3 linked regions of the Diceros bicornis minor genome follow. The protein of the gene in region 1 purifies or fractionates together with the protein of each later gene. This does not show direct contact. Links are inferred from orthologs where the notes say so. Each region holds a gene or a part of one and is shown in the gene's direction. Other genes may lie near its edges.

Region 1 (9,900 bases):
GGGCCTTGGTTTCCCCTTCATGAAGTTGTTGGTCCTTTCAAGCCTGCCGCTTTGGTGCGGGGTGAGGGGGTGGTTGAGAGTTGAGGGCAAGAGGAGCAATTAAGATCTTCAGCTTTGGGGTTCAGACAAGCTCCGCCTTCAAGTGGTGGTGAGACCTCTGTGCTTCAGTTTCCGTGTTTGCAAAATGGGGCTTAAATTGTACCTACCTACCAGGATGAAGAAAGATAATGCCCTTAAAGCATTTAGCACAGCTCCAGGCACTTAGGAGGCCCTCAGCGGTGCCTGCTGCTGCGGTTCTCGCTCTCTGGCCTTGCCTGGGGTGCCAGGAAGAGGGTGGGGTGCTGCAGCCTCCAAAAACTCTGCTTCTTTTCTGGCTCCCCACCCCACCCGAATCCCAGTTTCCTTCTGTTCCCAGCCCCCACGTCTCCACCCCCGTCCCTCCACCTTCTGGAGGTCCTCTGTCAGGCCAGCCCTGTCAATCCTCTTGACTTGTGGGGTCGAGGGGGTAGCTGCTGAGTCCTGGGGCTGCTTTCTCTACAGGTCACCCTGCCCCACCCCACCCCGCCTGCCCCCCAGCCCCCTATGAGATGAGTGACACCCAAGACCCTGCCACTGCCCCTGCGGTTGCCACCCAGGTAAAGCTGGGGGGCTGGAGCCGTCAAGGCGTGGGCAGTGGGTCTCTCCGTTCCCCCCAGCACCAGGAGCTCCAGGCCTTCCTCAGCCTTCTGGGTGAGTCCATGAGGGGGCTGGCACGGGAGGGGCTGTGGGGACCAAATGTGAAACGGATGTGAGTGGTGGAATCTTAACCCTCCCGTGCAAGCGCCTGAAGTCTCCGTCTCTTCCCTTCTCAGGAGACCCCGGTTTTGGGCGGGGCGGGGGGGGGGGTTGTGTCAGAAAGCGAGTTCTGTGGAGGCTTGACCTTTGAAACTTCTGATGCCACTCTTGTCTTGTGGGGGCGGGTGGTGACCCCAGTCCACCATTCCTCCTCTCTACCCCCAGAGCACAGTTTCCTCCAGGAATTCCTCTCCAAAGATCCCTGTTTCCAGATTTCGGATAAGGTGAGGGGGCACAGTGGGGGTAGAGGCGGGGGTCACTGGGGAAGGTTGAATTAGTGGGGCTTGAGTGCTGCTCATTCATTGGCTCCCCTGGGCTGGTGGAGGGAGCGCCTCCCTTTTAAACCCTTGTCTTTCAGGCCCCTCCCCACCATGTTACTGAGGTTTTTCTAACCCCCACCAGAACTTCCTTGGGTGCACACAGGCTGGTGCAGCCCCCCACCCAGGGCCTCCCTAACCTCTCCGTGTCCCATCTTTGCAGTACCTCCTGGCTATGGTGCTGGTCTACTTCCAGCGTGCCAACCTGAAGCTCTGCGAGTACACCCACAGCAACCTGTTCTTAGCTCTGTGAGTGGCCCCAGTGGGTGGTGGAGACGCTTGGAGCTGTAGGATGGGTCAGGGCAGATGCTTCTTATGGCAGATGCTTATTATGGCCCCCGCCTCTGCGGCCAGGTACCTTGCAAATGACATGGAGGAGGATCTGGAGGACCCCAAATGTGTGATTTTTCCATGGGCCCTGGGCAAAGATTGGCGTCGTCGCATGTCAGACTTTCTGCACCAGAGGGACAAGCTGTGGGCACGGATGGGCTTCCGGGCCGTCGTGAGCCGCCAGTGCTGTGAGGAGGTGAGGACCAGCCAGCCAGCTGGCATCCTGGGGTCGGGGAAAGAGGCTGGACCTCCCATCCCCATTTACCATCCACTCTACTCATGCCAGGTCATGGCCAAGGAGCCGTCCCACTGGGCCTGGACTCGGGATCGGCGCCCCCACCACGGCAGGGCTCAGAGGAGCTGTCCAAAGGCCCAGGTTCCCCTCCCCCGAGGCCCCGGCCTCTCGCCACCCCACTGTTCCCTCTGTGGCTTGCCCCCTCACCGCAGCCACTGCTGCCACTACCCCTGCCCCTTGCCTGTCTTATCCAAGTGCCCTTCCCCAGACCCCGAGTGGCATCGTGCTGCCTGCCAAGCCTGTGTCTCAGTGCCTGAAGACCCCTGGGGTGGGGGCTTCCTCATCGTCCTGCCGCTCCGGCTGCAGCTGGAGCCAGGCACCTATACCCTCCACCGTGAGTTGGGGACAGGAGCTGAGGGTGGCCTTGGGAGCCCAGGAGGCGGGTATGGGGCCCAACAGAATGAGAAGGAGGGGCACGGGGCCTGGGGTCCAGCAGGCCTGGGCACCATCCCAGCTCTGCCACCTCCTGGCTGGGTGAGCTTGACAAGTTTCCTCTCTGAGCTGCTCTCTGTCCTTCTCCCCCTAGTTTTCCCAAAGCCTCGGCAGTGCCCTGGGCGCTGACACTCACTTGCAGGGTGAACAGCAGCCTGCTGGCTTGCCCGCTGACCCAGCGCTCTACTGGCTGCGCCCCTGTGGCCTCCTGTCTATGGACCTCAGGCTGGCAGTGCTGCCCCTGCCCCCTGCCCCCTCCTCCCAACTTGCAACTGTACCCACTCTGACCGGGGTCCCCTCTAATAAACTCGTGTCCACAGGACACCAACTGTGCTCAGGCCCCAGCCTGGCTCCTTGACCCAGGGTGGGAGTGGGAAGGGAGTTGGGGGGAGAGGGGGATCTGCCAGGTTGAGGTGCCAGTTGTTGAGACCCATGAGCACAGGCTCTGGAACAGATCTTCCCCTTCCCATTGGTGGCCAGTCGTCCTGAGCCTCAGTTTCCCCTCTGTGACATCACCTATGGATGATGAGATCTACACAGTGTAGAGGGGATTGAAGGGGACAAGGTGTGTGTGTAGTCCTTAGAAGAGGGCCTGGAACCTAACCTATTGGACTAAAAAGCTCAAATGGAAACAGCTCTATAGTCAGTCTAGAAATGCCTGCAGGGCCCGGGCTGTTTAGAAATAAGACTTAGTCCTTGCCCTGGGCTGCAATCAAACATAATGTAATTATTATAATACAACCCCCCACAAAAGTAAATTTGTTAATGAGGGAGCATGGAAGGCTTTCCAGAGGGTGGCATTTGAACTGGGCCTGAACAATGTCAATTTTGCCCATGGGGGGGCAAGGGGGAAGTTGTGAGGAAGGATATTTTTGGAAAGACAGTCTAGACTAGTGACTAAGACTTAGTCTCTGGTGCCAGACAGCTTAAGTTCACATTCCAGGTTCCTGTGTGATCTTGGTGTGTAATTTAATCTCCTCCATTGCCGCATCTGTGAAATGGGTCTATACTAAAATGGGTGTTATGAGATTTGAATGAGTTAATCCCTAGAAGAGTTTAGAACAGTGCTGCTGGAATAGAGCTCAGTGAACCAGGGTGTAGAGGGAACTGCTGCCTAGAGGGGAGGGTGTGTTGGGGAGAGGTAGAAGGAAGACGGAGAAGGCTGGAGAAGTAGCTACAAGGGTCAGATGGCAGAGGAATCCCCTGCATACTCAACGAGTGGCTCCCAAGGAGCGAGGTGGTAAGAAAGCCTGGAGATTGCGGACATTAGAAGCCAAGACAAGGGCTAGGAAGTATTTTTAATTTGTTTTTCAAATAGGTAATATCTTCACATGTACATTTTGCATTTTGAACTGAGTCACCTCCTACCCCTGACTCCTGGCCACCTGGTTCCCCTCCCTGGAAGCAGTGAAAGTAACAATTTATGTCCTTCCAGAGAAAGAATCTAAACATACATAACCAAATGTGGTGTAATAAAATATATATATATATTTGGTCTTTGTTCCTGGTTTCTGGCACAGAGCTCTTAAAACCCTTGGAATCTCCTAAGTGATAGGAGTGTCTTTTGTTATTCATGATGAGCCCCTTTCAGCCACATCTGAGTTTCTGCTAATGAGGTGACTCAGGGTAGGGCCCCTACAGGGCTTCAAGGTGGGGGCTGGTCACCAGTAAAACCAATCTAGTGGGTGCAGAACTTTGAGCTCCCCCACCACCTCCGGGGAGGGGAGAGGAAAGGGGCGGGGCTGGAGATTCAGAGCGTTTCTGGGTTGGTGAACAGAGATATGCTGGGAGGGTGGCTCCCCGGAGAGGGCACTCCGCCCCCCCCCGCCCCCCTTGCCCTATGCATCTCTGCTATATGGCTGATCCTGAATTGCATCCTTTATCCTAAACTGGTAATAGTAAATAGAGCACTTTCCTGAGTTCTGTGAGCCTTCTACCAAATTATCAAACCTGAGGAGGGAGTCATGAGCACCCCCAAATTTGTAGTTGGCCAGACAGGAGTGTGGGTCACCTGGGGGTCCCATTTGTGGCTGGTGTCTTGTGGGACTGAGCCATTAACCTAGGGGTCTGGGAATTAGTGTCAAAACTGAATTGAATTTTAGGCACCTAATTGGTGTTGGAAAGTTGGAGAATTGATGTAGAAAAATCACCTGTATTTGGTATCTGGGAAAAAACACATTTGGTGTGAGAAGTGGTGTCAGAAAAAAGACCACACCAGATATGTATATATGTCCCATCTCCTTTTTTCAAAACTGAAATGGAAGAATTCCATGCATCCTGTTGTGTGCTTAACATATTTTGAAGATGGTTCCTTATGCATACATTCCTTTTGACAGCTGTATAGTATTCCTCTTTATGGATGTACCACAATGTAACTTGTTCCTTCTGATGACATTTAAGTTTCTAGACTTCTGCTATTCCAAACAGTGCCACAGAGTGTCACTAAGACCTTGTAAGGAAATCATTATGCAAATGTGGAAAGATATCTGTAGAATGAATGCCTAGAAGAATTGCTCAGCCAAAAGCCAAGTGAGAATTGTCATTTTGATGATTTTTGCCAAATGTCTGTCTATAGAGGCTATGTCCATACCACACCCCCTCCCCCCAGAAGTGCATGTAAAGGTGCTTTTATCAGTGAGGTACCAGAATTTTTATCTTTGTCAAATTGATAAGTAGAAAATAGTGTCTTGGTGAAGTTTTAATTTGTTTTTCTTTTGGATGAACTTAAGCATTGTTTCATGTTTAAGAGCCGTTTGTCTTCTTTTCTGTGAACTGTACTTGTCTTTGCCTGTTTCCCTACCGTTTTTGGTTTCTGATTGACATATAAGGGTTTGAAGGAATAAAAAGCCCTTCAAGATGTAAATTGTAAGTATTTGCTTCAGTTTATCATTTTGACTTTGCTGGATAGGCTTTTTAATGTAAGAAGATAAATTTTTTGTGGCTTCTGGGTTTTGTGTCATAGTATAAAAGACCTTTTCCACACTGAGATGACTAAAAAATCTTCTCCCTCAGCTCCTGGCTGTATTTTTGGTTTCATTTTTTACATTTAACTCTTGAGTTCATCTGGAATTTATTATATACAAAATTCCCTCCTATTTTCCTAATGCCTTTTATTGAAAAACTCATCTTTTTGCAACAAATTCGAAACTCTATTTATATTATATACTAAATTTTTGTATGCATTTGGACCTATTTCTAGATTTTTCTATCTTCCAATGATCTATGTCTGTTTCTTTAATTATTACATTTAATTATTATAGATCTGTCTTTGCTACCTCTCCAGAGCATCTTCCCTCCCCCAGGCCCCTGCTCCCTGTGATCCAGTCACAAGAAACACTTGGCAGTTCCCCTCATTGGTGTATTCCCCCAGCCTCTGGATCTTTGCTCATGCTGTTCTTTCTCCTAGGCACACCCTCACCAGCACCTCATTGCCTAGTTAACTCCTACTTGTCCAACAGGACTCAACTTCCTTAATCCCCAAAATTGGACCAGGAGAGCCCCCTCTCTGCCAGCAGGGGCTGGTCTGCCTTACTCATGGGTCTCTGCTGTTCAAAGACCTGCCAGAAGGGTTAGTCAAGATTGGACACATAAATGCTGAATGGTGAGGAGCAAAGGGCTCACGCGCTGGTTCCAGCCCTGACTCGCCAGGTGAGGGAGCTGAGCAAGTCCTCTGTTTTCCGCATCTATTAACTGGGAGTGAGAATGGCGTCAGATCAGATCAGTGGCTCTTAACCTTCTTGGGGTCGCGGGCCCTAAAATCCTAGGAGAGCCATGCACTGTTTCCAGCAAAATGCTAGTGTATACATCCTGTAAGAGCTGCAGCAGCTGCTGGCCGCGGCCCCCAGGCTCGGTGAAAAGACCTGAGCAGGAGGACCGCCGCAGCCCCCCTCTCCGATTCCTGGCTCTCCAGCTCCTTGCAGTCGCGGAGGCAGGATCTCCGGGTCCTGGGTGGGCCTGCCGTCCTGCTCGAAGCCTCTGCCGCCCCCTCCTGGGTAAGGCGGCACAGGGTGCTCCCAGTGGGTGGGCCGAGGCCTTGGGGAGAGGGCAGGGATGGCCACCTCTCGCAGTTTCCCGGTTCAAGAGACCCCAGAGCGCGAGAGAAAGATGGGCTCCCACAGTCGCTCATCTCCATCCTACTCGCTGCGTGAACCGGCAAACCGAGGCCGAGAGAGGCAGGGACTCAGCCAGGGTCACGCGGCCAGCCTCGGCCTGGGGGACTGATCCCCGCGCCCCGCCCGGCGCACGGAGCCGCCAAGGCCGAGTGGCGCGCCCCGAGCGTGCGCCCCAGGGCGCGGGAGTGGGAGGGGGAGCCGGCCCTGCCCAGGAGCCAGGAGGGCTGCGGCGAGGCCCCGGCGGGTGCGGCTGCCGTTCGCCCAGCGACCGGCAGAGATCCGCTCGCCGCCAGCCCTGCCGGCCCTCCGAGCAGCTGCCGCAGCCCGAGGTAATCTCGGCCCCGCGCTGGCGCTGCGCTGGCGGGGGCGGAGGGTGGGGACAGCTGCGGCCCCGCGGAGGAGGGCCCGGGGGACGGGCCGGGGGCTGCAGGAGGCGGCGCCGCCGCGGACAGAGCGCCGGGGAATGCCCTCCGGGGGCGCCGCGTGGGGTGGGGCCGCCCGGCCCTGCAACTCGAGCTGCTGCCCCTGGTTAAAAATACCCCTGCCCTGCCCTGCCCCTCCCCCGCGGTGCCCTTCCGTCCCGGCCCCAGGCCTCCCACCCCGACAGGCGCTGGCCCCTCCCCGGGGACGACTCTGCCTTTTACTAATTTGTCCTCTCCTGGAGTTGCCCACGGGCCTGCGGAGGGAGGGGCGGGGAGACACCGAGAGTAAGACAGAGAGCCAGAGAAGGTGCCCGAGAGATAAAGGAGAGCCGAGAGGAAGCAGGGTAGCAGCCCGAGGAGGAGGAGGAGGACGGAAGGAGGGAGGGGGGAGGGAGGGGGGAGGGAGGGGGGAGGGCGGAGGGGCCCGAGGAGGGCGGGGAGGAGCGCTCTTCCTGGTTGGGCCCTGCCCTGAGCTGCCACCAAGGAAGCCAGCCGCAGGGACAGCAGCGACCCTCCCAGACACTCCTCCCCCAGGTAAGGAGCTGGGTGGCCGGGCCAGGATTCTCCGACTCCGGCCACTGGTCCGGGGCTGAGGGGCTGCCCCGTCCCCCTGCCCTCTGAGTGCCTGGGACAGGGACAGGGGCGGGGGTTCGGGAAGCCGCACAGCCCAGGCACCCGCCCCAGCCTGCGCTCAGCACTGTCTCCAGGGGCTGGGCTGGGGGAAGGCCGGAGGGGAAGGCTCTGAGGCCCTGGTCACCTCGTCTGTCTCCGAGGCTTGGGGAGGGGGATCCTGACTGCCTGGAGTTCTCAGTCCCCAAGCCAGGAAAAGGGGCCAGCGTGTAGGATCTTGGCTAGTTTGGGGAGGGGTTACAGGCAGCAGGCAAACAAGGTCAGACGCCTTCCCTGGGGTCTCTACTTTCCCGGTTCCCTGTGTTATTATCTCGGGGCTCCGCCCTGCTCCACCTGCCTAGCTGGCTGACCACAGGACTGCAGGCCCAGGACAATGGGAGTGTTGGAGAGGAGAGGTGGTGGCATTGTGTGGGGGTAGGGAGGTGGTGGCCAGCACATCTGGGGGCTGGGGAACTCCTCTCCTGGATTCTGGGAGCCTAGGGAGGTGGGCAGGTTTGGGGAGGAAGTGTGGGCAGAGACAGGCAGGAGCCCCAATTCTAGTCTGGGAAGGCCTGTGTTCTGAGCAGGCGCATCTGCCCTGCAGGATGGCTGAGGAGATCATCACTCCGGTATACTGCACTGGGGTGTCTGCACAAGTGCAGAAGCTTCGGGCCAAGGAGCTGGGCCTGGGCAGCCATGAAAACGCCATCAAGTACCTGGGCCAGAATTATGAGCAGCTGCAGACTCAATGCCTGCAGAAGGGGGTCCTCTTTCGTGATGAGGCTTTCCCCCCAGTGCCCCAGAGCTTGGGCTATAAGGACCTGGGCCCCAACTCCTCCAAAACCTATGGCATCAAGTGGAAGCGTCCCACGGTGAGAGGGGCCACCCGGGGTGGGACTCAGTTTACCCTTGATCCTGGGTGAGGACTGGGTCCGAGACTCCAGGTCTTAGTGGGCAGTGGGGTCTGGGGTGGCTGGGTTTCAGTGTCTGGGAGGGGCCAGCCCAGAGACAGGACTCTAGGTCTCTTGCAGGAGCTGTTCTCAAACCCCCAGTTCATCGTGGATGGAGCCACCCGCACAGACATCTGCCAGGGAGCCCTGGGTAGGCCCTGGGGGATTCTGAATGTTTTTTCCTTAGTAGCTCCCCATGCCCATTCCTTCCAGCTCTGCCCAAGCCCCTCCCTCCTGCAAGCTCAGACAGGCTCTGGCTGTCAGTGCTGGGGCTGGTTTGCCCAGATTCCTGGGTCTTTTCTGTAAGTCGAGGGAACCTCAGTTTCTCCCCAGCATGGGCACTCATGTGCACCACTGGGGGCAGATCGTAGAGCAGGCCTGACATGGGTCCCTCCCATCCCAGGGGACTGCTGGCTCCTGGCTGCCATCGCCTCCCTCACCCTCAATGACACCCTCCTGCACCGGGTGGTTCCTCACGGCCAAAGCTTCCAGAATGGCTATGCCGGCATCTTCCATTTCCAGGTAAGGGGCGCCGCACCCACCTGGGGCCAGGGGGTGGGGGACAGAGGGGTACAAGCACTGGAGGAGGTGAGGACTGATGAGGCACAGCAGTCTGAACTTAGGGTGACTCAGGGCCACACCCTGCGGGGGCCACCCTCCTATAAGGTATTTGACCTCTCCTTGCCTCTTGGATCTGTCATGTGTGAAATGGTTGGGCAGGTATTTCTCTGCTGGCAGATTTCCCGGGTCGTTGTGCGGATGCAGGAGAAAGTGCTTGGAAGAGTAGAAAGATCTCTGTTGTATCCTGTGGGACAAATCCTTTTCCTCCCCAGGTTCTGTTTCCCCCATCTGAAAAAGAAGGAGTGTTCTGCTGGGGAAAACAGACCAGCACATGTGGCATCTCCACCCTTGGCATCAGTCTCCCCCTCGCCCCCCACCCCTAAGTCCTCCTGTGCTTGGGCAACCTCCAGCCTCTGACAGAGCCCTGCAGAAAAGAAAGACTTGCGATTAAGTCTATTTAAACAAGCTTTTCCTGACCTTATTTGCGCACAGCGCCCATTTTTGAAGTCACACTAATGAATTCTCAGTGAGCTGGTGTTTTGGGAGAGACACACCCCCAGGAACCTGAGATGAGCCCCTCTGGCCCCGGTGGCCCCAGCCCTGCCCCCGGGACTCCTGGGTGTCCTCTCCTTCAGCCTAGGCAGGCAGCCGTTTACCCTGCTCCATCCTCACCCGCCTTAGGGCGGAGGAGACGGCCTACAGGACCCACAGGACCACTGGGCGGCCTTTGGCCAAGTGCCCCACCTGCCCGCGCTGGCCCGCGGGGGTGTGGCCTCTCCGCCCTTTCCCCGCCCCCTTCCCGCACTCCTCCAATCCGCTCCTCCCTGGTTTCTGATTGGCCCGCTCAACACTCCCCCACAACCCGCGCTACTTGGGCCCATCTCCTCCCTTTAGCCCATTGTTCTGCACCATCTCTGCCCCCCGCCCCACCCCACCCCCCAGCAGCACTTGGTCGCTTCTGGCTTCAGGCGCCCGACTCCTCCCACCCTGGGCAGTCGACCCATCACAGCATCTCTGAAGCAAACCCCATGATTGCGG
Region 2 (9,499 bases), on another chromosome or scaffold:
ACGATGATAGCTAAGAGTTATTGACCATGTGTTCCAGGCCTAGCCCTGGGCTGGGTGATGCGGAGGACACAGTGCCCCCTATCATAGGGCCCCCAATCCAGTCCAGGAGACAGACGTTATCCAACGCTACAGATCGTTATTTGTTATGAGTGTCTTGGGGAAGAAGTTCTGGGAGTCCTGGGAGCATATAACAGGGCAACCTGCTCTAGTCTGTGATGGGGGAGGTCAAGAAAGGTTTCTTTGGTGAGGTGACTACAAAGGAAGAAGGGTAGGAGGGGTGGTACTGCAGAGGCACAGCCTGTGCAAGATCCTGGCAGCCAGGGAGCCCGGGGAGAGGACCAGGAAGAGTGATGGTTAATTTCATGTGTCAATTTGACTGAGATACAAGGTGCCCAGACGCTTGTTTGGCTAAACATTCTTTCTGGGTGTGTCTGTGAGGGTGTTCCCAGATGGGATTAGCATTTGAATCGGTAGACTGAGTAAAGCAGGTTGCCCTCCCCAACGTGGGAGAATCATCCAATCCTTTGAGGGCCTGAATAGAGCAAAAAGACAGGGGAAGGAATAATTCACACCCTGCCTGACCGCTGAGCTGGAACATCAGGCTTCTCCTGCACACAGACTGGGACTTACACCATTGGCTCCCCTGGTTCTCGGGCCTTCAGACTTGGACCAGAACTTAAACCATTGGCTTTCCCGGCCCTCCAGCTTGCAGCCAGCAGGTCGTGTGACTTCTCTGCCTCCATAATGGTGTGAGCCACTTCCTTATAATAAATCTCTTTCTCTCTCCTTCTTTCTTTCTATTGACTCTGCTTCTCTGGAGAACCCTGACTAATACACTGTTGAAGGCAGGGCAGTGGAGGGACAGTAATCCGAATTAGTCATCATGTAACTACTTGGGTTTACACCTGGCTCTGCCATCCCCTCAGGCAAATGACTCCCGCTCTCTGAACCTCCACTTCCTCTCACATTAGTTCCTTTCCAGAGGGTTGTGAGAGGCCTTGCAGGACATGCCTGTAATGCAGTCACCCCAGCCTGGTCCCATCAAGCCCTGGGGCGGCATTAGCTAGGGTAGTTATGACTATTGCAAGTTTATTAATTGGTGGCATTGTGAAATTAACATCATTGAAGCAACAAATTGTGAGGATTAAAAGCGTGAGCTACAAAGCTAGCCTTCCTGGTTTGAATCTTGACTCTGACACTTATGATGGGGTTCAGGGCAGGCCGCCCCAAGATGTGCTACTCTGGATGTGGATTATTTCGAGCTGAAGACAATAAAGGCTCAGAAGACTCAGAAAGAAACTTTGACCTCCACCAGCAACTAACTGCCTAAAAGAATTTAAGATAGAAGGCCTGTTCCCAGGACATGCCATCACCATAGATAACTCTGGGTATGGATAGACTGGGAGGGTCCTTGCTAAGCCCATTCTTATCAAAGCTCTGAAAACCAAGTAAAAGTAGAAGTGACCCTTTGTAAGAGACATTTACATTTATAAGGGAAATCTCCATTTGTAAATGTGTCTTTCTCTCTGTACGGGGAAGAAGGGGGGATGACCTTATCTCTAGAAACTCTTATCAGTGAGGAAGGCAAGGACTTAAATCTGCATATTAACCTTACTCTTGTTTACTGTGCTTTTCTGGTAATCTCCCATAGCTGACTCCCCCACCCCCAACATCCTCCTTAGTCTCTAGCTGAAGATGGTGTTTAAGATGAGAACCTCTGCCATTTTGTCGAGTTACCCAGTTATTCCTGGGTCTCTCCCATGTATACATGTTATAAGGCTTTGTTTAATTTTCTCCTGTTAATCTGTCTCATGTAAATTTAATTCATAGCCCAGCCAGAAAGGATCCAGAGTGGGTAGAGGATGGTCTTCCTCCCCTTCACTTACAAGCTGTGCAATCTTAGAGAAGTAATCCCATCTCTCTGGTTACCTCAAGGGCCTGATAACAACTTCTACCTGCATCAGTCAGAATACGTTAGGTTATGCTGAGGTAACAAATGAGCCCTAGACTTTAGTGGACGAACATCTCAAAATTTATTTCTTGCTCATAGAAATAGGCAGATGTCCTCCACGCCATGGCTCAGCAATCCAGCCAGCTTCCTTTGTGTGGCACCTCTGTGCTTGCATAGCACCCAAGGCTGCCTGGGCAGCAGATGAAAGCATGGAGCATCCTGCACTGGCTTTTAAATGCTACTACTGGGAAGTGACACACCCAACACTTCCATTCACATTTTATTGGCCAAAGCAAGTCACATAACCATGCCTGAGTTCAAGGAGCCTGGAAGATGGTAGAAGACTTTAGTAATGTTTGCTGTACTATCTTATTGATGGTGCTGAAAATTCAATGGGAAAACCCACACAAAACATTGCATTCAACAAATATTGAGTACCTCAGATGTGACAGGCACTGGTTTAGGAACTGGGTACGTAGCAGTGAAAAAGAGAGACAGAAATCCTTGCCATCAAGGAGCTCACATTCTAGTGGGGGGACAGACAAGAAACTGAAGAAATAAGCAAACTCTGCAGTATGTCAACAGGTGATAATGGTAATGTTACCACACCAAAGTGGGTCTGCTTCTCGGTGAGTTGAAATCAGAGCCTTCACCAGAAGTAGTTGTCACACAAAGTAAAATTTGTTTGCCGCAAATAGAGACCACAGGGAATCGTTTCCAAAGCTGTGGCTCCCTGAGCACAGGGAAGCAGGAGACTTTTATGTCGGATGCGGAATGAATACTCAAAAGGGAGAGGTCGGCATTCGCTTGCGAAGTCTCAGTTGGAAAACACGCTTCCACGTACATCACATGTTATGGTAGTGAGGCCTTAGCTCCTCCTGGGGTGGAGATCTTAGCATTAAAATGAGGCAAAGGTCTTCTCTTGGGCACTTCTCGCCCATCTATGCAGGTGTCTCTTGTGGTGGGGTTTGGACTGGTTCAGGGCGGTTGGTGATTGTCTTAACATAACAAAAGAGAAAAAACAATTTGGAGAAACAGTTAAATGCTTCTGAAACCTCCCTTGAGTTCCTTGGGACAACTAGTGGGTGACAGTAAGAGCAGCGTGGGGGTGGGACGGGGAGTGTGGGGTGGGACGGAGATCTGAGAGGACCTTCCTGAGATGATGAGATGTGGAGACTTGAGGCACAAAGGCAGGGCTCGGAAGGGCCTTGGGGCTGGAGTGGCGGCCTCCCGTGTGCCGCAGGAGAGGGCTGTTGGATATGGCTGTGCTGGCAGAGCCTTCTCGTCTGCGTCTGGTCTGTGTTCAGCTGGAATATCCAGGTCAAGCTGCCAGTACAGCTTCTTCTCCTTTCTTACGAGGGAGGAGATGAGGGCAGAGAGGTGCCAGGACAGGTCACTAGGGACTTAGTGGCCGTGGTGAGACTTCGAGTCTTATAGTGGTGAGGTGCAGCCAGGGAGGGCTCAACCAGGAGGGTCCCGACCTGACTCAGGTGTTCACAGGCTCCCTCTGGCTGCATTTGGGGAAAGGACGGTGAGGGCAGGCACGGGAGCTGCAATAATGGTCCAGGCCGGAGAGGACGGAGGCAGGGCCAGGTTGGGGGCAGTGGCTGGGGAGAAGAGCTTAGTTTTTGTAGGTAGAGTCAACAAGGTGTGCTGACAGGTTGGAATGGGTGTGAAAGAGAAGTCAAGGACGACTCTGGGGTGTTTGGTCTCAGTCACTGGAAGGACCAAGGTGCCATTAACCTAGACAGGGAAGGTGGAGAGGGAGCAAGTTTGGGAGGAAGGTCAGGAGCTCAGTTTAGGATGTGTGAAGCTTGAGACACCGCTAAGACCCTTATGGAGATGGAGAGTAAGATGCAGAATGTAGGAGCCTGGAGATGGAAATTTCTGGGCTGAAGATAGAAATTTGGGTGTTGATAGCCTAGAGATGGAATTTAAGCCATGTATGTGGGGGAGATCCCTATGGCATGAGTGGGACAGAGAGAAGGACCAAGGCCTACGACTTGGAGCTGGCCGGGATTAAGAGTCAGGAAGACAGACCTAGATGACAATATGATTCAACTGGCAATGAGTGCTCTGAGAAAATACAGGTCACAAACAGGTACCCGCAAGCCTCTTCTAGTCTCAGGAGGCGACAGGGAGGGCTTCCTAAGGAGGTGACTCCTGAGCTGACACCCAAAGCCTTAGTAGCTACAAAACCAGGTGAAAAAGGCAGAAGGAATGTTCCAGGTAGAGGGCACAGCCCATGCAAAGGCCTGGCAGGCAGTGAGCCCCAGAGAGGGCAGAGAACAGAGGCTGCTCAGTCTGGCAGGGAGGGGTGTGGGGAGAAGGGAATCCAGATTAGTCATCACCACAAGTATTGGCATCAGCCAAGCCCAGTTTCATACCTGGTCCTGCCACCCTCTGTGACCTCAGGCAAGTTACCCTGCCTTCAGAGCCTCCATTTTCTCTTGTTAGTTCCTGCCTCATAGACAAGGTTTGTGTAGCAGTTCCATGGCCTGGCCCCAAGCCCTCAAGAAGCACAGCTGCAATTTTGTCTGTTGTGATCTTCTTGTTTGAGCTATTATCATATTAAAATATTTCTATCATTGAGGAGTCAATGCATTAGGGTAGTGGGTAAGGGTACAGGCTAGGGAATTTAACCTCAGAGTCAGTTTATTTATTTGTAAAATGGAGATAATATATAGCATCCATCCCCTAGGACTGTTATGAGGACATATGGGCTGATATGTGTAAAGTCTTAGGAGCATGCTTGGCAGTTATTTTTATCAGTATTATCTAAGGATGAGCAAGAGTCAACCCCCTGAGGAATCCAGGTGGGCTCCAGGAGGAGGGAATAGCATGAGTACAGACACAGAGGATAATAGCTATTATTTACTAAGCGTTTATGACTTAAATATGGTAGGGGCAGCGGGGTGGGGAGCATGGGACCCTTGTTCCCATTTTACAGATTAGAAAATCGTTGCTCGAGTCACTGTTTGGGATCCCACAGTTATTAAGGGGCAGAGCCCAGGATCCAAACTCAAGTTCAGCCAGCCTCGAGGCAAGAGCCTGGGAGACAGACTTAGTTCCCTCTGAGGAGCCCTGAAAAAGTAGCGGGTGCGCACGGGTTGGAGGCTGGAAGCCGAGAGCAAGCGAAAGGCCTCCAAAGGCTACTTCAGTCGCCCTCCTCCCCGCCCCCCCAACCTGACCTCAGGGACATCCAGCCTCAGAAATCAGGCCGTGGCCAGCGGACTCTTCCTGTGTCCGGGCACCTCTTTAGAGACTGGAAGACTGAGGCGACACTTGGGCCGGTCCGGGCAAAACGATCCTGGTGACCCTGACTCGGGGTCCAGGCGAGTGCGGGTGGAGGAGGCACAGGTGGTTTCGTGGGCGGCGAAGTCCCGCCCTCGGCTGGACCGCCACCCAGGCTGCCGCAGGGTCCGGGGAATCTAGTCTAGCCTGACTCCCTACCGCAGACGCGGGCGCTGATCCCCGGGCCTCCAGACGCTGTTTGTCGCCACAAGGCTAGGATAGGGCCTGAGTGCCAAGAGTCCTCAGTCCCTTTTCAAGCCGACTGAAAACCGCATCGGTGGCCGGGTGGAGGCTGGCTTCGGGGCGAAAAATCACACTACAACCCCAGGGGATCACCTCGGCTCTCTCGTCCCCGGGCGCCCTCACCTGGCCGGGAGAGTCGTAGGCACCTCAGACCTATTAAGTCAAGGCGGGGTTGGAACCCGGGACGGTGGAAACGTGTAGGGCGGAGCCGCGGCGGCCGCATCCCGTTACGAAGGCGGGGCCGCCGTGCGCAGGCGCAGTTCCAGCGCCGGCTCTAGGACCGCGCGGATACCCGCTGGGCCCCCAGCAGTGCCGGATCCGGTGCCCGCGGCCTGAGTCACGGGTCCCGCCCTACCGAGTCGGGCGCAGCCGGAGGCCCGGGAGCAGCGCAGGCGAGCGGACCGGCGGACCTGTGAGCGAGGCGGTGAGCGCCCGGTGCGGAATCCCTCTGTACTCCGTAATCCCAGCCCTGGCGGCCCCCAGCCCCGAGGAGACCCTAAAGTCCCGGTCTCAGGGGTCCCCCAGACCCATGATCTCAGATGCGAACCCCCAGACCTGTCCGGCCCCAGTTATCCCGCCCCAGGGATTCCTCCACTTTCCGTCTCCGGATCTAAAATACGAGCCATGGATTTGAGAGGTAAATCTGCTCGTAAAATCTGCCCTGGGTAGGCCTCCAGAACCACGGTCCGAGATCCGTGCTCCCAGTTGTAATGGTGACTCCGTTATCCCGGGCCCCGGGGCTCACACCCACAATCTTAGACATGACCCCACGGACCCGGCGGTGACACTGTAATCCTGCTGCTGGGAGAACCTAAGCCCCCAAGCCACATTCTGGGTTTCCTAAACCCTGCCCCGGGGGCCTCCAGGTGGAGAGTCTCTGATCCGCGCCCCTGATCCGCCCAAGACCCCTAAAGTCCAGTTCTGGGGCTCTGGATTTCAGATTCGAGCGCCCAAACAAGTCAAGGATGCCTAACACCAACCTGGGGCCCCCATCTTGAGAACACCCCCAGACTGGACGGTTCGGGTGCTTAATGATGCCTATGCGTAAACTCAGTCCAGGGCCCCCCAAACCAGACGGGGACCTTTTGGACCGGAGTGGGTTTCAAATCTGATCCTCCGTCCGTCTCCTACCCACCCGACAACTGCCCTCCCGCTGAAGCCCAGACCCCACCCCGAATGGACCCTCAAGCCCCGGCCCGAGGATAGGTCCCCACCCGGAGGCCTCATATTATTCCCCCACGTCCAGCTGCCAGAAATGGGTATTTTTGTGGGGAGGGGGCGGGCTCAGGGGCGAGGCGGCCACCTGACCCTTTTTTCCCCCTCAGGGATCCTGAGTCGCAGCCATGTTCCTGGTTAACTCGTTCCTGAAGGGCGGCGGCGGCGGCGGGGGAGGCGGGGGCCTGGGCGGGGGCCTGGGGAATGTGCTCGGAGGCCTGATCAGCGGCGGCGGCGGCGGCGGCGGCGGCGGCGGCGGCGGCGGCGGTGGCGGAACTGCCATGCGCATCCTGGGCGGGGTCATTAGCGCCATCAGGTAAGGCGGGGCCTGGGGAGGGGCGGGGCCTGGCGGAGGAGGCATGGCCAGCACGAATAGAGTGGGGTAACCTGGCGACTGACCTGGAACCTTCATTAGGCTGGGCCGGGGCTGGGCTGGGAGACTGGCCTTGAGGGGCAGACCGTAATGAGGCCGATGGCAGTTCAGGGGGCGGGGCTTGACCTGGGCGCTGTCTGACCGTTGAGGGGACGCCATCAGATGGGACCCGGGAGGTGGGGCTTCATGGGCTGGGCGCCGCCTGCTTTCAGTAACTTGGAGACGAACGTTAAGGGGGCGGAGCCAACGAGACTGGGTATCCCTTCCCGGGGGCGAGGCTTGTTTTGTGGGCTCGGCCTGGCCGCACTAGGTGGATCAATGAGGAGGTGGACCCAGAAGAGGCCGAAGCCTAATGGGATAGGGGAAGTGGCCTTGGGCTGGGCCTGGCCGGGCACTGGCTGGATAGAAAGATGCCCTGGTGGAGGGAGGAGAGGTTGTCGATAGGGGCCTCGTTAGCCTTGGCCACTGAGCAGTGATCCCTCAAGGGGCGAGAACCCGTGGAGCTGGGGTGGGATGTTGGAAGACACAGGCTTTCCGTTCAGGAAGCCATGGCGATGGAGCAGGTTCCTAGACAGGTGGGACCCAGGGAGCTGGGGCCTTCAAGGGCTGGGTCTGTTGAGGAGTCTGCCGTTGGGTAGGTGTGCCCTGGGAGGAGAGCAGCCAGCATGGGGGCGGGCCTGTGGGTTTCCTCGCTGCGCAACCAGGGCAGCAAGGATAGGGACAGGTGAGGGCAAGGACAGATGAGGCAGGCGGAGGGAGCAGGTAGGCAGGGTGGCGAGCTGGGGATTGGGGGGTTGGGCGTGGGGGCTGTCACTGCCCGCTGGAGGCCCCGCCCCCTGGCGCTAACTCCCCCGTTTCCCTGCAGCGAGGCGGCTGCGCAGTACAACCCAGAGCCCCCGGTAAGCCACCCCTCGCAACGGGAGACCCCTCTTCTCACTCTGAGACCTTTTCCAGCACCATCCTTGTCCCTTTGGACAGACCCCACCTCCTCTCCCTCTTTTCCTCCCATTAAGTCTCTCCCTTCTCATGTCTTCAACTTAGCTAGACCCACTCCCTGTCACTGACCACCTCTCCTTCCTTTGATCACTCAGCCCCCCCCCCCCCACTCTGACTTTGCCACACCTAGGGCTGTCCTGGCCAGGGCCCCCTCCCCCTCCCTGCTATGAGATCTCCTCCCTCTGTCTGCAGCCCCCACGCACCCATTTCTCCAACATCGAGGCCAATGAGAGCGAGGAGGTCCGGCAGTTCCGGAGGCTCTTTGCCCAGCTGGCTGGAGATGTAAGTAACGCGGGGCCCCCAGACCTGTCCTAACCCTTCCGTGCTTTCCCTTGGGCCGCCCTTGGACACACACACTCCATCGTGGCAGTCCCAAAGTTCCCATCCTCCTTCCTGACATGCTCAGACCCACCCCTAACTTCTCCCACAGGACATGGAGGTCAGCCCCACAGAACTCATGAACATTCTCAACAAGGTCGTGACCCGACGTGAGTGACTGGGGTCAAGGGAAGGTTTAGAGGCATGGTGGCTGGGGTAGCCATGATCTCTTGCCTCTGACCTTCAACCTGTCCCTCACAGACCCTGATCTGAAGACTGATGGTTTTGGCATTGACACATGTCGCAGCATGGTGGCCGTAATGGATGTATCCTTGGGGGCAGTCGGTGGGGGGGGGGCCTGGGTGAAGAGGGAATTTTCTGAGAGCATGATTGGGGCAGCCAGGGTGTAGCTTTCATACTTGCAGAGGTGGACATGCATACATCAGAACACACGCCCACTCATGGACATGTGGCTGTGAATAGTAACATCAGCTGTCATAGCTGGCACCTCACTTACTGTAATTCACAGCCACCCTGTTAGATGGCACAATTATTACACTCCCTTAAAGTTGAAGAAACGACTCAGAGAGAGGCTAACATCTGTCTGAAGTTATAAATAAAGAATAGTGGCAGGATAGGAATTTGGACACAAGTCTTGAGAACCCAGGCTTATAACTGCCACAGGTATGCCCACGTGCACACATACACATGTATCCAAGGGCACACCCACATACATAAAAGACATGAAGCCATGTGCACAGGGACCAGTCAGTAGCTGATCTTGGGTACTCGCACACTCAGCCCACAGGGCAGTGCAGACACATGCGTATGCACATGTCATGTGATCACACGCGTGTGTTGCATAGGGTTAAACAATTCTGGCTCTGCCCCTTAACAAGGTTGCTGAGCCTCTCTGTCCCTCAGTTTGCCTATCTGTAAAATGGGGTGGATGATGATGGTGATACTGAATTGGAGCTACATGCAAAAGTTTTAGCACAGTGCCTAGGAGCACATAGTAAGTGGTCTGTATGCATTAGCTGTTACTATGATCTTACTCAGGTAGAGTTTTCAGCTCCGAATCTGTTTCTTTCTCTGTCACTGAGGAATAA
Region 3 (9,314 bases), on another chromosome or scaffold:
GAAAGCAGGAGGGCATGGCTGGAATACAGTGGCGTGAAGGGGCGAGGCTGAAGACAGGACTGCCTGGTCAGATCCTGCAGGTCCTGGCAGGCCATATTAAGGGTCTAAATTTCATCCTGTTAGCACTGAGGAGCCATCAAGGACTGTAAACACTAAAGAGGGATGATTCATACAGTGCTAGTTAGCTGTTGGCCAGCAGATCACACTGAGAACCAAGCTCTTTTCATGAACCCACACCCCAGAGGACGAAAAGTTGTAAACCAAAAGGAAATTAGCAAGGAAAGCAGAAGACAGCTGAAGGCTCTTACAGCTTCCTTGCAAGCCGGAGGTGTCTCATACCTACCTCCTTGCCTGCTGCCAGACCTATAGAGTAATCTTGTTTTGTTTTAATACCACTAGACAAAAACTAGAAAACAAAAATTTTATTTTCCCTTTATTTCTAACCATTCTTAGGAATCAATTTGTAAAATCATTGTTTTTATATACCTTGAGACTAGTATTAACAGCATGGCTGCTCTGTGAAACAAATTGTTCTTCAGTGACCCCTCTTGAAGGCAAAAGTCATTGTAAAAGGGGGAGAAATTTAATTAAATGGGTAATATTTTCAAACCTAATGTTCCGTTATACAGCAATTTAACAGCATGTTTTCACAATATTTATTCCCTCCTCCATTCTCTTTGCAAAGTTTTCTGGTGTTATATAGCATGGAGAAGTGTAATGGATGTGATCAACTACTTGAATCCCCTTCAGCAATAAAAGAGCCATTGCCCGGCTCCTGGGAGTGGCACCAGCAGGAAGCCCTCATCTCTCAGCCCCATTTGAGGGTTGCCACAGCTTAGGGGAGCAAGCTCCCTCCCCTAAAGCCCTACTCCCTGCCCCCCAACCATATGTAAGGATTGGTCGATGCAGGCTTATAAAGGCTCAGCCCTCTCTTGCCGACCTTGGACGTCTCTAAAGTGCATCCCATCTTCATCCTTCCCTACAGGATTATCTGAGGCTTCTAGTGGATCTGCCTCCCAGCTCAGCTTCTCCCTTTGCCCATCCTTCCTTCCCTTCCACAGGTGCTGATCCCAAGAGCACTCCCTAATAAACTCCTGAAAAGGAGATATGATCTCAGTCCTCTTTGGTCCACACAGACAAGAAGCAAGACATTTCGTGATGCTGAAGAACAAGGCCTCAAGGTATTTTGCAGGTGTTTTACTATCTGGAGCACAGATAGTAAGAGAGACATAAAGGATGAGAAATGAAACCTGAGAGCCTAGCCACAGGTATGTGTGTGACTCAAGTTCTTGTTTGGCAGCAGTGAGAATTTAAAACTATTTCATCTGCTGTTTCTTCTCTTCCTTCTCTTCTTCCTCTGTCCCTCCATCCTTCCATCTCCATTCTTTCTTCCTGCCCCCACCCTATCTGCCATCCATGCACAAGCCCAATGTGATCTGAGAAGCACAGTGTCTTAGTCCATTTGGACTGCCTATAACAAAATAACAGAGACTGGGGAGCTTAGAAACAACAGAATGTATTTCTCATGGTCTGGAGGCTGGAAGTCCGAGATCGGAGTGCCCACATGGTTGGGTGAGGGCCCTCTTCAGAGTCGTGGACTTCTCATTGTATCCTCACATGGTGGAAGGGGCAAGGGAGCTCTCTTGGGCATCTTTTATAAGGGCACCAATCCCATTCATGAGAGCTCCGTCCTCATGACCTAATTCACCTCCCAAAGGCCCCACCTACTAATGCCATCACGTTGGGCATTAGGATTTCAACATATGAATTTGTGGGGGACATAAACATTCAGACCATAGCACATGGCAAGGATCCTATGGTCTAAACATATTCTCCACCTGGCTAGCACATCTTCCTCTCCTTTATGCACAGAAATTCACCTCTGAGGCCATTCTTCTGGATATTGCAACAGTCAGAGGCATGAAGCTCCTACTTAGATACATGCATGTTATAAGGGAAAGGAGGCTCTGAGAGCCTTTCCATATTTTGCTAATTAGTCTTTGCCTTTTTTTTTTCTGGTTTACTCAGGAAAACATTACTATGGAGCAGAGCGAATTTGGCCGAGAGTCTCAAGATGGCAGATAGTACAGGTAAGTTTCAGTGGGATTGAAGGCACTTGGTTGTCAGCCAGAAGGCCCAGGTTTTCGTGGGGGAACTTCCCTTCCAGGGGTATGTGGTGGTGCAGAAAGAAATACCATCCAAAGTGGAGAGTACTGCCCAAACTGTGGGTACCTCAGAAAAACTCTGCCTCCTTCCCAATTTTACCCACTGTCTGCATTACCCAAAAAACCTCTCAGCTTTCAGATCAAATGGACACTCTTCATCCGTTGTCTGACCCACCCTTTGAGTGACATTTGACATTGTGGCCCAGCCGCTCCTTTTAGAAGGCCTTCCTCCCTTGGCCTTTGGCACCCACTTCTCTACCTGCTTCCGCCTTCTCAGGTTCCACTGGCTTCTTCTCTGGACTCCATCTTGTCTTTCTTTTTCTCATTTTACACATTTCCTGATGAGAAGTGATGAGTTTCTGAACAGGGACAGCAGTAGTGAAGATGAAGAGAACATAAAATGTGGAGATCACTCAGAGCAGGTTTCATCTCATTCAAGTCAACATGAGGTTTCAACTCACTCAAGTCAACCCTTAAGTCAACATCAGGGGAGGAAGCAGCCCCTGAGCTCCTTCCTCTCCCAGACTGCCCAGCCCTCGGTCAGAATGAGAAGCCCCTCCTCAGGATCCTACAATGCTCTTGGAATACCTCCGCTGGCCACCATCACAGCGTTGTGGATTTATCTGTCTGTCTTTCCTACTGGACTATGAGGTCCTTGAGTGTAGGAGGTCCCTGGTACCTCCACAGAGCCTGACACATAGCAGGCATCCTGTTACTGAGTAAATAAAGGAAAACACAATATGTGCAAGTAAAAATGTAGCAAAAGTTGCCGTATATATTCAAAACAAGCTTTCCCAAGATGCTCAATGCTGATCCTGGTATCAAAGTTCCACATTCCTCACTGACTACAAGAGAAAGCGAAAACATCAGCCTCTTCTTCAACTTCTTTGACGTTCTTCTTGCTCATAGTCATCAATGTACTGTTTGCCCCATAATGTTCTGCTTATATGAGTTCCAGCTCTTGAGCAAAACCTAAGGCAAAGGTCATTATGTCTTATAGATTTTGATATCAACTATATCATGTAGCACAGTGTAGCTGCTTAGAAAATAAGTTGATAAATGTGTTGATTACTCCTGAACTTGGACCAGCAGCTCTAGTCAGCTGGGTGGGCTCCTTTTTATTTCCTGAACTGCCTTCACCCTTTCTTCTTCTGTCCATATCCCACCAGCCAACCAGCCCGCTGAAGCCTCCTTGCCCTTCCTATAATCACCAAACCCCTCAAAACGCCAAACTCCTGAAGCATATTTGTATTAGTCACACGCTCTATGTCACCCAAATGACCCTGTGTTACAAATGCCACATGAGCTAAGCTGTAAGTCCCTGGAGGGCAGGGAATGTGTATTTTTAATCTTTATATTATTGCTCCCTCTACAGTTCCTTTCACAATGCTTGACATGGAAGCCTTTCAAGAGATATAGAACTAACCGGTTTAAGTTCAATTTTAAATACTCCGTTAGAAAATACCTCAGACTTTAATGGGTACCATTCTTCTTCCAGAGTTAGGATAATGTACTCAGGGATCTAGAACCTGAATCTAGGCTCTCTAGGCTCCCAAGTAAGGAAATGGTTCCAGTTCCTGAGCCCTGAGGTGGGGCTGCCTATCTCCTCACCCCCATTGTTTATGTGTTTGTTTAAATCGCTGGTGACAATCATAAAAGCATTTTTTTCAGGCTTATGACGTATTTTCCCCAATTATGAATGTAATTCATGACACCAATCTATTTTCCTTGAATGGACAATGATAAATCCCCTATCCAAGTTGTTTCATGTTTATCTATCAATTCCTGCACTGCAGCCTGTTGGTTGGAAATACTAGATATAAAGATAATAGAACTCTTTAAGAGGCAATACATTTAAATCATCCCTCCCTGCTCCTCCCATTAAGAATGAAGCTAGCCAGTCCATTTAATAAAGGGAAGTCAGAATCCCTAAAAATGATAGTGTAGGAGGAAGCAAGAGTTCCATTCTGCCAAGCTCAATATATCATGACAAATTTTTTCCTATAACCTGTCCTCCCTCTCTCCAATTGTCTAAATCACAACACTGCAGAGAGCAGCCACCCCTAGGCACGCCACTGTAGGGTAACAGGTTTTTTCTGTCGGGTCTGATCACAAATCTGCAGCAACCACAGGCTGACAGAGTTTGTAAAGGAGCGTTTTCTAGTCAGGCTTGTTATATTTCACTTCCAGCCCCAAACCAGGAAGTGCTGTTTAAGATGAGCCAAAGACAAAAGCAATCCAGCTTCAGAAACAAAACCCGCCAGGCTTCAGACAGGCTATAGGGGTTTAAATTGGGGACTGTTCTTGGATTTGGATTGGAACCTACGGCTTCCTACTTACAAGACATGATTAAACTTTCAAAATTGCTCTCCCAAAATCCAAACTAAAATGACAAAAATACACAGGCACGCACACACACACCCACAGACCAATTTGTTTTTGTGATCCGCTTCCTTATCTAGACGGTCCAGGCTTGAGCCAGATTGGAGTTGGTAAATTCTTCCCCTAGCTAAACTAGGGCAGATTGCAGAAAAGGTGTCTAATCTCGAGGTTCTTCGGGAGAAGTGTCGAGGCGTACACCGGCCACGCCCGGGTCCCGCTCTCCCGTTGCGCAACTGCAAGCTAAGTCTGGGCAAGTCGAAGGAGGAACCCTGAGACCTTCAGCCCCTCCTCTCTGTGACCCACGGGGAACCCAGCAGTCCTGGGTGGCGGGGAGGGTCACTGGGGGAGGACTCGGGACCGAGGGTGTTAAGTTTCAGGCAGGGAGCCCGGGACCGCTGCAGCGGGGGCCCCAGCCCGCGGCGGGCAGGAAGGGGAGGACCCAGCGGGGCGAGGGGGAGCCCCGGCGCGGGCTCGGGGCTGGGTCGGAAAAGCTGCCTCACGGGCGCGCCCGCCGGCCCCTCCGGTCCCTCCCTCTTTCCCTCCCTCCCAGCGCTCCCCGCCCGGGCCTCCCTTCCAGTCTCCGCTGCGCCCTCCCGGAGGCAGCGCTCCCCGCGGCCTCGCCATGTCCCAGCCGGGCCAGAAGCCCGCCGCCTCCCCGCGGCCCCGGCGCGCTGCAGCGGCCCGCCACACCCAGGAGGTGAGTGGCGCTCCCGCAGGAGCCGCAGGGCTGAGCGCTGGGAGGACCCCGGCCCGTGGGCCCCTCCTCTAGGCCTAGCCTGCCTGGCCTGCTGCCCTGGGCGCCCCTCCCCAGGCCGAAGAAGGGCCCGGGGCTCAGTGCCTGCGGCCGGGCAGGTGGCTGGAGGTGGCCGGGATTCCCGGGCCAGGGCCAAGCGTGCTGGGCGTGGCGCGAGCTGCATAGGGGGTGGCCCGCGTCGAGAAAAGTTGTTTGGTGAGACGTGAGTGAAACGAGGATGGAGATGAAAGGGGAATAAAGTTCTTCGGGACCCCCAGAGCGGGTAGGGTAGTTTAACTGGACGGCGGGACCCTGCCTTCCGTATACGATCCGGGCTCCAGGGCGTGGCTGCCTGCAGAAATAACACATCTTCCCTAACCAGCCCCGAGCCAAATGGGGCGGGGCGGGGCCAGCCGGCGGGGGCGGGGCCTTCGTCGGGCCCCGCCCAGGCGCCCGCCCACCTGACAGCTGCGGGGCTTGAAGAGCTCAGCGCCGTCCAGGTCCAGACACGCGGAGTGCAAGCCTGGGGCCCCCTGCACAGCGCCCCGCGTCCGTGCTGGGTCCTCTGCCGTGCGACTCAGAGCCAAACCGGTTGTCGCCATGGCATTCGCAAGCTGGTGGTACAAGACGGTAAATAGGAGCGATCGTGCCTGGGCAGGACTGGGAAGGGAATGTGTTTGCCTTTCTGGGAGTGTGGACGAGTTATTGTCCGGGGTTTGGCGGGGTAAGGGTGGGGACCGGGTACGACCTCCTCTCAGACCTTCAGGTGAGCCTCCGGGAGAGGCCGAGACTCACCCAGTCGTGGTATGTGGGAGCGCGCCCGGACGTGCGAGTCGGTGTGAGCAGACGCACCAGGCTCCGGCTCTCACTCTTCAGTTGAATGGAACAGGAATTGTTGCTGGAGGAATTCCGCCCCTGGTCGCGGATTCCTGAATGAACTAGGGCTGAGCTCACAAGAGCTCAGATCTCGTGTTTTTACTTTTTTTAACCCATAAGTAAAGCTCCAAACTTTTAGAGGAACGTTGTTGGACGTGCATTCTCCAACGCAGAGGAGGCAGCCTGGATGGGAGGCAAGGAGAAAACCCAAAACTCCAAGGAGCAGAAGCCAGTGAGATCAAGACCCCAGTTGAGAATGAGAGAGAAAGAGAGAGACAGAGCGAGCGAGCGAGCTGCTCTGTACTTTTGGATAAGGGGTACAGGTGTTCCATTTGTTTACTGCATTGAATGCCTGCCCAACCACTTAGGTGTGATATCCAGTCGAGCTGGCACTGGTAATGTTTTGGAGTCAGTAAGCATGATTTAATGTTAGATTGCTTCCCCCCAAAAAAATACACAAAAGTTTTATTGACAGAGTCAAAATATTTTGTCCCACTGATTTATGTTGAGAATTTAAAAAAATTGGTTAAGTACACCTCTCTCTTTCTCAGAATGTGTTATTGGAAAAAGCAAGGATGTTGTTATCAGACACTTTGGAGAGAAACCTTGTGTTGGAATCAGAAAGCTGTCACTTACCAGTCAATGGCGGTTCACTGAGCATCTGCTATGGGCCAGGCCCAGTACTAGCCCCCAAGTACACGGTGGAGAACAAGTCAGAGTCCTTGTTCTCAAACGGCAGTGAGTCCACCTTTTTGAACCTGTTTCCACATCTATAAAATGGGGGTGATAATAGGCACCACGTAAGAGTTGGTAAGGACTAATTAGATTCATGAATCAAAGTACCATACCCACATACCTTTTGTGATTGGGAATTCCAGCTTCCCTTGAGATATTTCCTCACGAATATTTCCCATTACATTTTCTGGACTTTTAAAATGTAGCTTCTTATTGATATGCTAAAAGCAAAAGTTTGCTTTGAGTCATTATTGTTCTAAGGTTCATATCAAAATGTACCACATGAATGATCTGCAAATATAAATGGCAGTAGTTCAGAGTTGACATCAGACTTCTCCTTCCAAATTCATGGTTCTCTAAAGAAAATTATGCTGGAATATTTGGATGAAAGTAGTTTGTCTGTACTTTTAACCCTGTTATGTTTAGGTGTAGTCTCACATTTTTACTAATACCTCTCATAGAATCCAGTTTTGGCACTATTATAAAAATCGTTTGCTAGTAGGAACCTCCTGGAATCAGCAATATGCCTGTAATCAAGCTTTGACTTTTCCCAAACCAATGCTGTCCGACAGAAATACAGTGTGAGCCACACATGTAATTTTAAATTTTCTGGTAGCTACATTAACAAAAGCAAAAAGAAACAGGTGAAATTAATGCTAATAATATATTTTATTTAACCCACTATATTCCAAACATTATTATTTTAAAATGTAATCAATGTTCAAATCATTGAGATATTTTACATCTTCTTTTTCATATTAATTCTTAGAAATCAGTGTATATTTTGTGCTTACAGGACAACTCAATTCACATTTGCCACATTTCAAGTGCGGTCGATAAGCACAGCTACAGGACTGGACAGGACAGCTCTAGACATGGGTTCCTCTCCATTTTTGATTGGTGGTTGTCGGAGGTGATCACAGACCATTTTGAGAATTAAATGAAAGTTATGGACCATTTTCCCACTACAAAATATGCACATTCATGCACAAAAGCCCACCCATAAATCTGTGGAGCCAATTTATAACATACATACATATGTTATATAACATATGTATGTATGTATTATATATTATATATATACATGCTTCTGGTAAATCCTGTAACTAAAATATCTTATGTGGGATCCTTTAAATACTAAAAAAGATTTTAATAACCTAACTTTAAAATTTTAGGCACAATAAAATAAAATAATTAAAAGATGTATCTAAGGTGTGTTTGTTTAAGGGAGGGCCACCTATACAGCTAGTCTGTGAAACATTGCAATGTACATTTCCACATTGAATACCATCAATATCTTTGATGTTATCTTCTGTAGAATTATGTGGTCATAGTAAAAAAAAAAAACAACTTTGGAAAGCTAAATTTGAAGAACATCTGATGAGCATCATAATGATGAAGCATGAAGGAGAGGAAATTTGGTTTACACCAGTAATCACATTCCTGAGTCATAAGTTGACTTGATTAGACTGTGTTAATTAAAGGTGTTTCTTAGCCTAATTAGACCCATGGGTCCAGTGGCAGAATGATCAAGGAGCCCAGTCATTTGGGAGGCCCCATGGTTGCAGCCAGCCTGAGAATGTCACAAGCCTTCCATGGCAGGACAGACCATTTGTCTTCAATGACTTGTAGGAGTAAGGAATGCAAATTTATAGGGTCTGCAAAGAGGATTTAGGGTGTTGGGAGAATGGAGGTCAGACACAACTTTCCTCTTTTGGTTGGCAGTTTCTGAATTGGTTTGCTTCCCGTTGCAGGTAAGACTTTTAAACTAGGAGTAACATCTGATGATACTGTTCTTTAATCAGTTTTGACACTTCCCAGAAAGTTAAATATATTCTACAAGTGCTTTTTAAAGAATGATGTAGCTTGCTGGGAATGGAAACAGTGGGTGGTCATTTGAGATTCCAAGGTCAATGGGGGGGTAATTAGTTCTAAGTAGGTTGTCTCAGTGGAATACAAGACTTCTCTAAGAAGCCCATCTTTATTCTATTTTTTCCTAGAGGTTTTTTTTAATGATTATTATTGTGGTAAAATATACATAAAATTTACCCTCTTAACCGTTTTTTAAGCGTAAATTTCAGTGGAATTAAGTACATTCGTATTCTTATGCAACCGTCACCACCATCTATCTCCAGAAGTCTTTTTGTCTTGCAAAACTAAAACTCTGTACACGTGAAACAATAAATCCCATCCAGTTTACATACATACATTCTAATACATAGCATTGTATGCAAGCATTTGTGTTCCTTACCATTTTGTTTTTTTGTAAGGAAGATCAGCCCTGAGCTAACATCCATGCCAATCCTCCTGTTTTGCTGAGGAAGATTGGCCCTGGGCTAACATCTGTGCCCATCTTTCCTCCACTTTATATGGGATGCTGCCACAGCATGGCCTGACTAGTGGTGCACTGGTGCGGGATCCGA

What was found.
Region 2: the proteins of CAPN1 (region 1) and CAPNS1 purify together in Homo sapiens (co-immunoprecipitation; 4 studies listed by BioGRID and IntAct, counting the BioPlex papers as one, with this or other methods). This does not show direct contact. The link is inferred for Diceros bicornis minor from reciprocal best matches to the Homo sapiens genes CAPN1 and CAPNS1.
Region 3: the proteins of CAPN1 (region 1) and CAST purify together in Homo sapiens (co-immunoprecipitation; 4 studies listed by BioGRID and IntAct, counting the BioPlex papers as one, with this or other methods). This does not show direct contact. The link is inferred for Diceros bicornis minor from reciprocal best matches to the Homo sapiens genes CAPN1 and CAST.

Annotation. Positions count from the first base shown.
Region 1 is NC_080770.1:7,974,355-7,984,254, reverse strand, and holds the start of CAPN1 (calpain-1 catalytic subunit), read left to right. Parts: upstream 1-5,969; 5' UTR 5,970-6,200; intron 6,201-7,174; exon of another isoform or gene 7,175-7,276; intron 7,277-7,955; 5' UTR 7,956-7,956; coding exon 7,957-8,223; intron 8,224-8,382; coding exon 8,383-8,452; intron 8,453-8,704; coding exon 8,705-8,823; intron 8,824-9,900. Other genes in the region: SPDYC (speedy protein C), read left to right, coding at 588-729, 1,000-1,058, 1,315-1,400, 1,506-1,677, 1,768-2,337. UniProt on the Homo sapiens protein: Calcium-regulated non-lysosomal thiol-protease which catalyzes limited proteolysis of substrates involved in cytoskeletal remodeling and signal transduction. Proteolytically cleaves CTBP1 at 'Asn-375', 'Gly-387' and 'His-409'.
Region 2 is NC_080773.1:8,518,566-8,528,064, reverse strand, and holds the start of CAPNS1 (calpain small subunit 1), read left to right. Parts: upstream 1-5,807; 5' UTR 5,808-5,912; exon of another isoform or gene 5,913-5,923; intron 5,924-5,954; exon of another isoform or gene 5,955-6,125; intron 6,126-6,813; 5' UTR 6,814-6,831; coding exon 6,832-7,019; intron 7,020-7,941; coding exon 7,942-7,975; intron 7,976-8,264; coding exon 8,265-8,354; intron 8,355-8,502; coding exon 8,503-8,560; intron 8,561-8,651; coding exon 8,652-8,716; intron 8,717-9,499. UniProt on the Homo sapiens protein: Regulatory subunit of the calcium-regulated non-lysosomal thiol-protease which catalyzes limited proteolysis of substrates involved in cytoskeletal remodeling and signal transduction. Essential for embryonic development.
Region 3 is NC_080740.1:22,275,456-22,284,769, forward strand, and holds the start of CAST (calpastatin), read left to right. Parts: upstream 1-5,068; 5' UTR 5,069-5,169; coding exon 5,170-5,244; intron 5,245-5,789; exon of another isoform or gene 5,790-5,880; coding exon of another isoform or gene 5,881-5,910; intron 5,911-9,314.